Linked DNA regions of Bombyx mori. The protein of the gene in region 1 interacts with the protein of each later gene in a biochemical or structural test. Links are inferred from orthologs where the notes say so. Each region holds a gene or a part of one and is shown on either strand. Other genes may lie near its edges.

Region 1 (4,725 bases):
TGTGAAAACGCTATAATCTGCTGGAAGCCGGGCCGACTTGAGGACACGGAGCTGCGGCCCGGGGACAACTCCGTCACCATGGTGCATCGCTTCGACTACAAAGAGTGTGAAATATGGTTTATACGATTCGCTGTTGACTATAGTCAAAGGGTAAGCACATTCTCTAGTAGATTGCGTTTGGATATTTTAGAAAATAATATTTTTCTCTTTCTCTGTTATTTTATGGAGTTGAATCTTACAATTGAATAAATTCATTGCCCCAATTAATACTTTAAACCTAAATATAACAATGTAATCACCATACTCGTCGAACTCGACAAAGAGTTCGCCGTGCAACCTAACCCATGAATCAGCTCGCTGAGTTGCTCGCCGGATCTTCTCAGCGGGTCGCGATTCCGATCCGGTAGTAGATTCACGATTCGCGAAGCAGCTACTCTTGAGCTGTTAGGTCTCCTTCGGAGGCGCTCGGGTAGCTGTTAGCAAATCCCACCCCTCCTGGCTGAGCCTTTGCTCGCCCACCTGTCCTGGTGAAACTGGAAAGACCTCCGGGCCACCAGTAATCCTTCAATCATAAAAAAAAAAAACAATGTAATAAATAAAACGCCTTGAACATGACATGTCATTTCAACTTCGTAGCCAGTCACCGTCAACGTCTTAGACAAGTCCTTACGGATCCATCAGATCCATTAAACTCAGTACTACACGCCTTCAGCTCTAACACTAGCAGCAGGCTTAGCGATCTGGGGGTAGATTCTGTGAAGCACTACACTTGCTAGGGTTAATTGTTAGCATATTCTCTCAGGAAGTCGTCGTCAGGTTTGAAGTTGTGGCCTAAAGGATAAGACGTCCGGTGCATTCGTATCTTGGAATGCAACAATGTTCGAACGCTTTCTACCGTGAAGCAGTAATGCGTCCCGATTTGAAGGGTGGGGCAGCCATTGTAACTATACTGAGACCTTAGAACCCAGGCGCATTTACGTTGTAGATGTCTATAGGCTCCAGTAACTACTTAACACCAGGTGGGCTGTGAGCTCGTCCACCCAGCTAAGCAATAAAATGAAAAAGGCAAAGCCCAAGAGCTCATCTACCAGTCCGAGCATAGTTAGAATAGCCCCTTCGGCTATCAGCAAATAGGTAGGAGAGAAAAGGCAATTTTTTACGAACATTAATAATGAAATCATCAATGTATTTGATTACAGGTGATAGCTCTAGGTAATCAGTGCGGTAAGACCATGGTGTGGGAACTGGGGAACGTGGCTGGAGGCTCCCGAGTCTCGCAGCTCGTGCATCCGAGATGCGTTGCTGCGGTCAGACAGGTGAGGGGCACGCTGTTTTACTTTGTGAGTCGTCGTGGCCTAAAGGATAAGACGTCCGCTGCGTTCGTATCTAGCGATGTAACTGTGTTTGAATCCCGCAGGCAAGTACCAATTTTTCTAATGAAATACGTAGGTACTTAACAAATGTTCACAATTGACTTCCACGATGAAGGAATAACATCGTGTAATAAAAATCCAACCCCCTAAATTTTTTATTTGCGTAATTACTGGTGGTAGGACCTCTAGTGAGTCCGCGCGGGTGAGTACCACCACTCTATTTCTACCGTGAAGCAGTAATGCGTTTCGGTTTGACGAGTGGGGCAGCCATTGTAACTATACTGAGACCTTAGAGCTTATATCTCAAGGTCGGTCGCAGCATTTACGTTGTAGGTTTCTATGACCTCCGGTAACCACCTAACACCAGGTGGGCCATGAACTCGTCCACCCATCTAAACCATAAAAAAAATTAGTTATGACGTTTAAATATGTATATAGTTAAATACATAATCAACACCCAGACAAATCAGTAATTACGCAAATTATAATTATGCGGGTCTGATTTTTACTACACGATGTTATTCCTTCACCGTGGAAGTCAATCGTAAACTTTTTTCAAGTACATACATTTCTTTAGAAAAATTGGTACCAGCCTGTTTATCAATCTCTGGTAATCTCATAACACAGGAAATCCTAAATTGGTGTCCGATGACTGCCTAAATTTGTTCCCAGTTATTTATTTATTATTTTCCATTTCCAGGTAACTCTCTCACGCAACGGCAAGATCCTACTGACGTGTTGCGACGACGGCACCATCTGGCGGTGGGACCGGGTCTCCGCCAGCAACTGACGATAACTCCCAGTACATCTGTGCAGATGTACTAAGTTAAATTTTAAAAATAAATCACTTCTATGTTACTTGTTCTGTTAATTCTCCAAATTACCTGATAACATTATACAATGTGTCCGTGCACCAGTTTCGGAGGCTTAAGGGGGTAAATTATGGGGATTTTTATCGACAAATCACTATCCCAATTTTCCCTTGGCCCCTCCATACTAGAATGGCAGCCATTTTGTTTTTTTTTCTACTTTGCAGCTCAGGCGCCTGCACTGATTTAATCATTGCTATCGATGTAGACGTCTTAGGAAGACGAATGAGGTGTCATTTGTAAAGCTAACAATGTAGACAATCATTTTATTCAATATCTTTTTCATAAAATACCAAAAAAAGTATTAATAAAATGAAAATTATATTTTGTTATTGCATTTTTTTTCTTTTCTCATAATTCAGGATATTTTCATTAAAATAATCTTTACATCAAAGTCCTTCATGATAATTTTTATTAATATATACTTAATGCCGAAAGTATCTGCATTAATATTTATTTTAATAAATAAAAAAACCACACTTTTCAAACTTTTAGAACTTTAAAAAATAAAACGCAAATTTATTTCAAATATTTAATACAATGACCAACAATTAAATCTACGTAATTAACAAAACGAATCACAGGGGTTCAAGGTGTCATTTGTGTTCGCTACACTCGATTAATATAAATTAGGTACACGTAATCACATACACTCGAATTCTAGATTACTTCTAAACGTACCCGTGAACTAATCGCTAGACGTTGAGTGAAACTAGGGCTGAACGACAGCCTGTGCGGAACGGAATACTAAATATATGCGATGCTTTCATCTTATTGGTAGTAGGACCTCTTGTGAGTCCGCGCGGGTAGGCACCACCACCCTGCATATTTCTGCCGTGAAGCAGTAATGCGTTAACTGCGTTGACACTTAACAGCCCACCTGGTGTTAAGTGGTTACCGGAGCCCATAGACATCTACAACGTAAATGCCATCACCCACCTTGAGATAATATGAGTACTAAGTTCTCAGTATAGTACAACGGCTGCTCCACCCTTCAAACCGAAAGTCAATACTGTTTCACGGCAGAAATAGGCGAGACGATGATACCTACCCGTGCGGTCTCCAAAGGCACTCTACCACCAATAAGCAATGATTTACAAATTCGAACAAATTAAACCACAATCTGCAATCACGAACGCAGTTATTCAAAAATTTGTGTATTTCAAAACGAAAGAAATCAACGCCGGTAGAATTCTTCAAATACTATATGTAGGGTCATACACACATCCTTAATAACGTACGTGGCGTGTTACCTGGCTACGTAATGCAAGGTGTCATCTTCACCATTCCACGCATTGTTGACGACAGTCCAGGCGAACACAGTTCCACTTAGATAGCTATAATAAAACTGTATGTACCTACTGTATATTCTGTAAATATACAAGTGCGTGAGTTAATAACGACTTTCATTTACAACAACTGGGCTAACCCTAAACTATAAATAAGACTCATGATAAACCAATGGAAAATGGAATTACTATCCATCGCTCTCTAACCGTTCCGAACAGGTGACGTCAGCGCTAACCTGCTACACAAATCTATAAATCACAACTAACCACTATCAATGACTGTAATTGAATATTTACTCAACACTTTCATTTAATTCAGTCTTTAAAAACGTTACAATTAAACGAACAATAAATGTTTAGTAACAAAAAAAAATACACGATTTTTTTTTATCCTTTCTAAATTACATTTGTCATACATTTATTGTTTTTTATTTAATAAAAATATTGAGATTACAAAGTGACTAGACGATAAATTAATATTTAGTGACAAAACATCTATCACTAAAATGACATTGAGTCCGTTATAGTATCATTTTGATTCCGCTTTGGGTTATGTACACTTCGTTCTAAATTATGAATGTTTATACTGGATTCCATTTGACTTCATTATTTAACTTGTATGAGTTGTTTGGGTTCGATTACTGTGAAAAAAATATAATTGATTGTATTTTATTATATTTCATAATAAATGGATGTAAAATTCGCATCTCTATTAAATGTGGCCAGCACCAAATATTTCCTGAAAAGCTGTGCAATCTCTATTTTCGTTACTTGCTCGTGTAGAAAATGTTATATGATAGGTATTTATGATTATTATATGTTTTACATTTTTTTTAATCATACGCACAGTATGCGCTTGCCGAAATAATAATTTAACCGAAATCTAATTTATATTTGTTTATGTCTCTTTTTGATTGAGCGCCATTTTGAATTCGGTCTAATCTGTACCGACTGCACAGACTATATGATTACTATCTTTATAAATTTTATTGCCTTGCGATATGTTTCACATTGCATAGCAAATTCCCTTTTTTTGGGAGCAGGAGGCTAACCTCCTACGCCTCCTACGGTCGTCGTGGCCACGTGGCACTTGACGATGGAACAAACTGCTGCTTTGTATCAGATTAAACCAGCCAATTAATTTATTACCTACTGTACTGTTTTCATAATCCTTGAGAACGTCAAATTAAAACG
Region 2 (5,562 bases), on another chromosome or scaffold:
CTCTCCTATAAAATTAGTAAGTTTTGAGATAATACAGTTTTAATGCGAGAAGACGATATGATTTATTCTGTTCATGGATTCTGAATTATGAAGTGTCTTTTAATTAATGTATCAATGGTTCACAGAGAACGCCCGACTGGGACATCGCGTGGTATAATGGAGGATCTCCCTAATACAGAAACTGAAGGAGCATTGCTCGGCCTGCCTGAAACACAAACCGAACTAGATGTAAGATTTTGTTCTTAGTATAATTTATGTAGAAAAGGGATCGCAGCGCATAAAATAAAAGTTATACTATTCCAAAATCTTCTATTATAATAGTAATTAATAATTAACACTAATTTTATTATGTCTTACTCATTTTTCAAACGTCTTCGCCATCTTCAAATTCTCTGTCATTCTATCTGTCATTCTCTTCTCCCTTTCTTTCCGTTTTCTCTCACTCACATCTTAACGCTCCGTTCCACACTCTTTTCATACGTTCCGTTCTTACCAATCCTACATTTATGTGTATTATTGAGTTAGATTTCGATTTGACTTCAATACTCCTTTCTCGATTTCATGCTTTGGAGCCCTTGTCGGTATGGCAATAAGCTTAGAATACTGCTACTAAGGAAATGTTATAGATATAGTATTTGGCGTTCATGAAGACCTATGCTCTTCCTCTAACCAATATGTGGTCTGTGGTCTAAAATTATAAACATAAAATATTTTATTGAACTTAGGTAGCTGTGTATTGTTAATGTATTTTTGTACAATGACTTACAGAACTTAACTGAATTCAACACAGCCCACAACAGAAGAATATCGATGCTTGGTATATCAACCGAAGATGGAACTGATGTTATCAAGGTGAATAGTATATTCTTGTAAAAAAGTGTATTTAACATTTTAATGTATATATTGCTGTAAATATGAAGATCGACTAGTGAGTCTTTCCATACATGGTTCCCAAAGTATTTTGTGGTTACCAAAATGATTGAGATGAAGTCCCAATTGTGTTCTGTAACAGTTGTTGCCACTTGAACGCATGATAGCTGTGCAGTGAAAATATAGTGGTGTCACCATCCACTATGTTCCTCTTAGTCCATGATACCCCCTTAGTATGATTAAAACAGTTCAGTAATTCAGACAAACATTTCTGTTATATATACCTAACCTATTATATAAGTAACTAGCAGTACCCGTCCACTTCGCTGGGAATTTAAAATTAATATTATTATTTCTCACCCCCACAAAGATTCTCATCATTAACGCCCCCGCAACTGGTGTAGGGAGTCCAACACTCATATAAATATTAGCCTATCCATTAAGTACATGTATTTTCTACGTGGATACCAAGTTTCAAGTTAATCGGATGCATGGTTCAGTAGTTATAACGGAACATCCGTAAAAACCACTGTAGATTTATATATTAGTATAGATACGACCTCTTAAATTTATCGAGAACATTCTGGGCAAGTCGAGTAGCTTCGATGTGTTTCCGGTATCTGACAATGATGGCGTTGTACTTCTCGATCTTTCTCGGCGTTACTAGTTCCTTTGATATACGTTTCGGCTATCCGGACGATAGATGGCGTTACTCTTACCGGCGTAACATTACTATCGTTTTTCAGCCGACAACCGGTACGAAGCGTACCGTTTCGATGCCGGTCGGTGTGCCGAAGAAGCAGAAAAGAAACGTGTCTTTCAACGAAGAAGTGGACATTATCAATCCCGAAGACATAGATCCGTCCATAGGCCGTTTCAGGAACTTGGTCAAGTCGACGATCGTGCCGAATGCGAACGCCGTACCTAAGAAGCTGAAGCTGCAGAGCGCCGAGGAAAGTAAGTCGTTCAAGTTATGGACTAGCTTGTCCTATACTATAATATTATAAAGAGGAAAAATTTGTTTGTTTGTTTGTCTTGAATAGGCTCCGAAACTACTGAACCGATTTGAAAAAATCTTTCACCGTTTGAAAGCTACACTATTCCCAAGTGACATAGGCTATAATCTTTTTTGAAAAAAATTTAGGTATCCTCACTAAAACCCCAATAATGTAATCCAAGGTGTAAAAAAAATACCTAAAATATTCTTTATATCGCGTGCTCTGCGAAAACTATTGATGATAGAATAAAAAAAATGTACTACGACTTTGTAGAACATATTATTATTTATAAAAAGTGTCGCGACAGCATATTATGTCTAACTATTATAATTATGCCGCAATAAGTGTTCTTTTATCTTAACAAAATGAAGCTTCAAATATCGTTGAAATTTTTGTTAAAGACCCGAGCGGAGCCGGAGCGGCCCGCCAGTCCTATATATACGTTAACACACTGACTGGCTGGTTGTCACCGGATAGTTGTCATACGATTCAATTGAGACCTCATGTCTTAAGGTGACAATATTCAGATTACGTCTATGAACTCTGGTCTCCCTTTAACATTTTGATTGCGATGTAGGTCACCGGTGCCCTACGCGGCGTACTGAAGTAATTATGTCGATTTCTATTAGTAAGCGCATCTGGATTGCCTAACTTTGCCTTCTTTTGTTTTTCTGGCCGTCTGGTGTAGTGGTACGTGACATGGTCACTACACAAGGGGGTCGCGGGTTCGAATCCCGCCAAGGGAAGATTTTTGTATGATAAATATAAAATGTATTTTCCTATGGATGTATATTAAAAAATATATATGTATAATAAAAATCTTACATTTATTTCCGTTATCTGGTACCTGTAACACAAGTTCTATATGAACTTAGTACGGGACCAGTGAACGTGGCGTGATTGTTTATAAAAAAAAAGTATGGTTTACTCTTTTAGGTCTCTAGAAATATATTCAGTCTCAGTATCTTAGGATTCGTCTTTGCCAGATTCTAACTAGATATTCCGGCGTCTTAGTAAGAAGATCGAAGAGAGAAATCGACATAATTACTACTTCAGTGCGCCGCGTAGGGCACCGGTGACCTACATCGCAATCAAAATGTTAAAGGAAGACCGGAGCCCATAGACGTAATCTGAATGTTGTCACCTTAAGACATGAGGTCTTAATTGTATCGTATAAGGACTTTCACGCCAGATGTACTGTTAAAAGTGAGACCTTAGAACTTATATCTCGAGGTGGGTGGCGGCGTTTACGTTGTAGATGTCTATGGAGTCCGGTAACCACTTAACACCAGGTGGGCCGTGAGCTTGTCCAACCATCTAAGCAATAAAAAAAGGATGGAGGAGGATGGAGCCACTAGAGGGCCAAAACTGAACTTAAATGGGCTCAGACAAAATGATTTTAATATTGACTTGTTAATATGTATTGCAGATCAACATCACCACTCGTTGAGGCTGCAGGAGATATCTCGGGGAGGGAATCTGTACTCGGATTTGCCCGCACCGAGCTCACATCTAAGTTTGATCGGGGCTAGGTATGTATTAATATTCATTATTGAGCAATGAGAAATTACCCCGATCTATTAACGGTGCTTTTAGGTACCACAAGCACCGGTCACCGTCCTCGCCGAACCTGTCGCATGCGACGAAGGGCTCGACGAGCGAATTAACCCATAGACACAGCCCACTGAGTTTCTCGCCGGATCTTCTCAGTGGGTCGCGTTTCCGATCCGGTGGTAGATTCTGCGAAGCACTGCTCTTACTGGGGCCAGTGTTAGCAACATTCCCGATTTGAGCCCCGTGAGCTCACCTACACACGTTTGGGTGAAGCTGAAATAGCCTATCAGCATAGGTAGGTTTTTTTTTTTTCGTTAATATTATATTGACATGATAAATTAGCTTGTATTCATAGATGCGATTTGTTAAAATAGTTTTGTAATTATAACCAAGAACATATTTGGTTTATAGTTTAATATTTAAACAACCGAATGTACTGCAATATTTATATATAATATGTATATATATATATTTCCATCCCAGAGCGCATGTTACGTCCTATATGGCGGTTTTTACCGATGATATTGCATCCGACCGACTTATTGCGTCCTGTATATGGACGCAAGATTGTCCATTTCTCAAATTCAGCCAGAGGTAGCCGAAAGATCCGTACAATGCGTGGGTAAAATATTGGCATGGACGTTATTTTGTCACCGGATTGATTCTCACCGTATTTCTTAGTTCCGCTGTTTGGCACGCGAATTTTGGAGGTCGCTTCTCCGCGGCGTATATCGGTAGCGTATATTGGATATTTTTTTTACGTAAATTTCACCGATAATGTGACTTCTGTATATAAAAAAATTTCAATTCAAGTTTTTATCAATTCCAATTTGTGGTTTAATTACGTCACACAAAATGACCCCGTTCCAAGAGAAACGCGGGAACAACAGGGGTGAGGGGGCGGAGTTAGAATGCGTCATGCAAGCGCCGTGATTTTGTTTGCAATTCTGTTCCGGCCGGCGCGGGCGCAACGACGACTATAGTGTGAATATCAGTATATTAGAGAATGTATAATAATACTTTTTATCAACGAAACACGTGAGCGGAGCCGCGGATGAAAACTAGTGTTACTTACATACGCATTACAGAAGTTTATTCAGTTATAGCCAATGATAAAATAAACTAGACTTTAATTAGTCGTTTTTAAATAATTCTTATTCTTAATCGTAATTGATATGCCAGTCTCCTTTCATGTTCAATTTTCGCAATTTTTTTGTTTTTGTTTTGTACACACTTATTATTTAATTATGAGTATTGTTTTTTGAATTATATAATTATGGTTTTAATTGTACTTAATTTATAAAAATAAATAATAGTTTAAAAAAACTAAAAAACACGCTTTATATAAAATTCAACTAAAAAATAGAAAATAAATTTTTATAAATTTAAATTCAAAATAGTGTAAAAAAATACATATTTCATTGTAAAAAAAGCGTGGTGTGCATGGTGTTATTAGTTATAAACATATTTCTGATAGATATGAGTAGAAGAATTATTATTTCAATAATATCTTAAAAAGCACCTCACGCTTTTCTTACAATAAAATATTTTTTTTTTCATTCATTCATTCATTTTTTAGTTGAATTTCAATTTTTTCAATTTTTTTTTCCAATTTTGAATTGTCATCGGTCCTCGATAAATCTATAGAGTTTGAATGAAATCTGGCCGTTTAAAGTGGGTCAAAATCGCGTCTAAAGTAGTCAGTTACAAACATACATACAAGTGAAGTTAATATAAAGCGTGTAATAAAACTTGATAGTATTGTCGAAAAAATTGTTTTATTTCGTGTTCATAGCTAAATTTATAAAAATGACACTCATATAAATAATGTACTCACACATAAACCTAATTGGAAGAAAGCTGAGAAAGATGAGAGAAAGATGTTTAATCTCGTCTAGAGGAAACCCGAAGGTGGATAAGTTATTTAGAGGGATTCGCGCCCTTTCACCAAGCGTACTGGCAACTAGCTAGGACCCTCAAATCGGAAACGATCGCCAATATACATTCCTTCGTAAGCCTCTCAGGCCAACCCTCGGCTTTTGATAACGATGAAAAGGTAGTGTTATTAGCCGATGCTCTGCAGGAGCAGTGCACCGTCAGTGCTCAAGCCGTGGACCCGAACACACCGAGTTAATTGCTA

Evidence for each region.
Region 2: the proteins of ESC (region 1) and nuclear inhibitor of protein phosphatase 1 form a complex in vitro, tested with the Homo sapiens proteins (2 studies listed by BioGRID). The link is inferred for Bombyx mori from reciprocal best matches to the Homo sapiens genes EED and PPP1R8.

What each region holds. Positions count from the first base shown.
Region 1 is NC_085112.1:13,493,875-13,498,599, forward strand, and holds the end of ESC (extra sex combs), read left to right. Parts: coding exon 1-150; intron 151-1,199; coding exon 1,200-1,316; intron 1,317-2,073; coding exon 2,074-2,163; downstream 2,164-4,725. UniProt on the Homo sapiens protein: Polycomb group (PcG) protein. Component of the PRC2/EED-EZH2 complex, which methylates 'Lys-9' and 'Lys-27' of histone H3, leading to transcriptional repression of the affected target gene.
Region 2 is NC_085126.1:4,084,896-4,090,457, forward strand, and holds part of nuclear inhibitor of protein phosphatase 1, read left to right. Parts: intron 1-125; coding exon 126-228; intron 229-768; coding exon 769-852; intron 853-1,616; coding exon 1,617-1,827; intron 1,828-3,297; coding exon 3,298-3,400; intron 3,401-5,562. UniProt on the Homo sapiens protein: Inhibitor subunit of the major nuclear protein phosphatase-1 (PP-1). It has RNA-binding activity but does not cleave RNA and may target PP-1 to RNA-associated substrates. May also be involved in pre-mRNA splicing.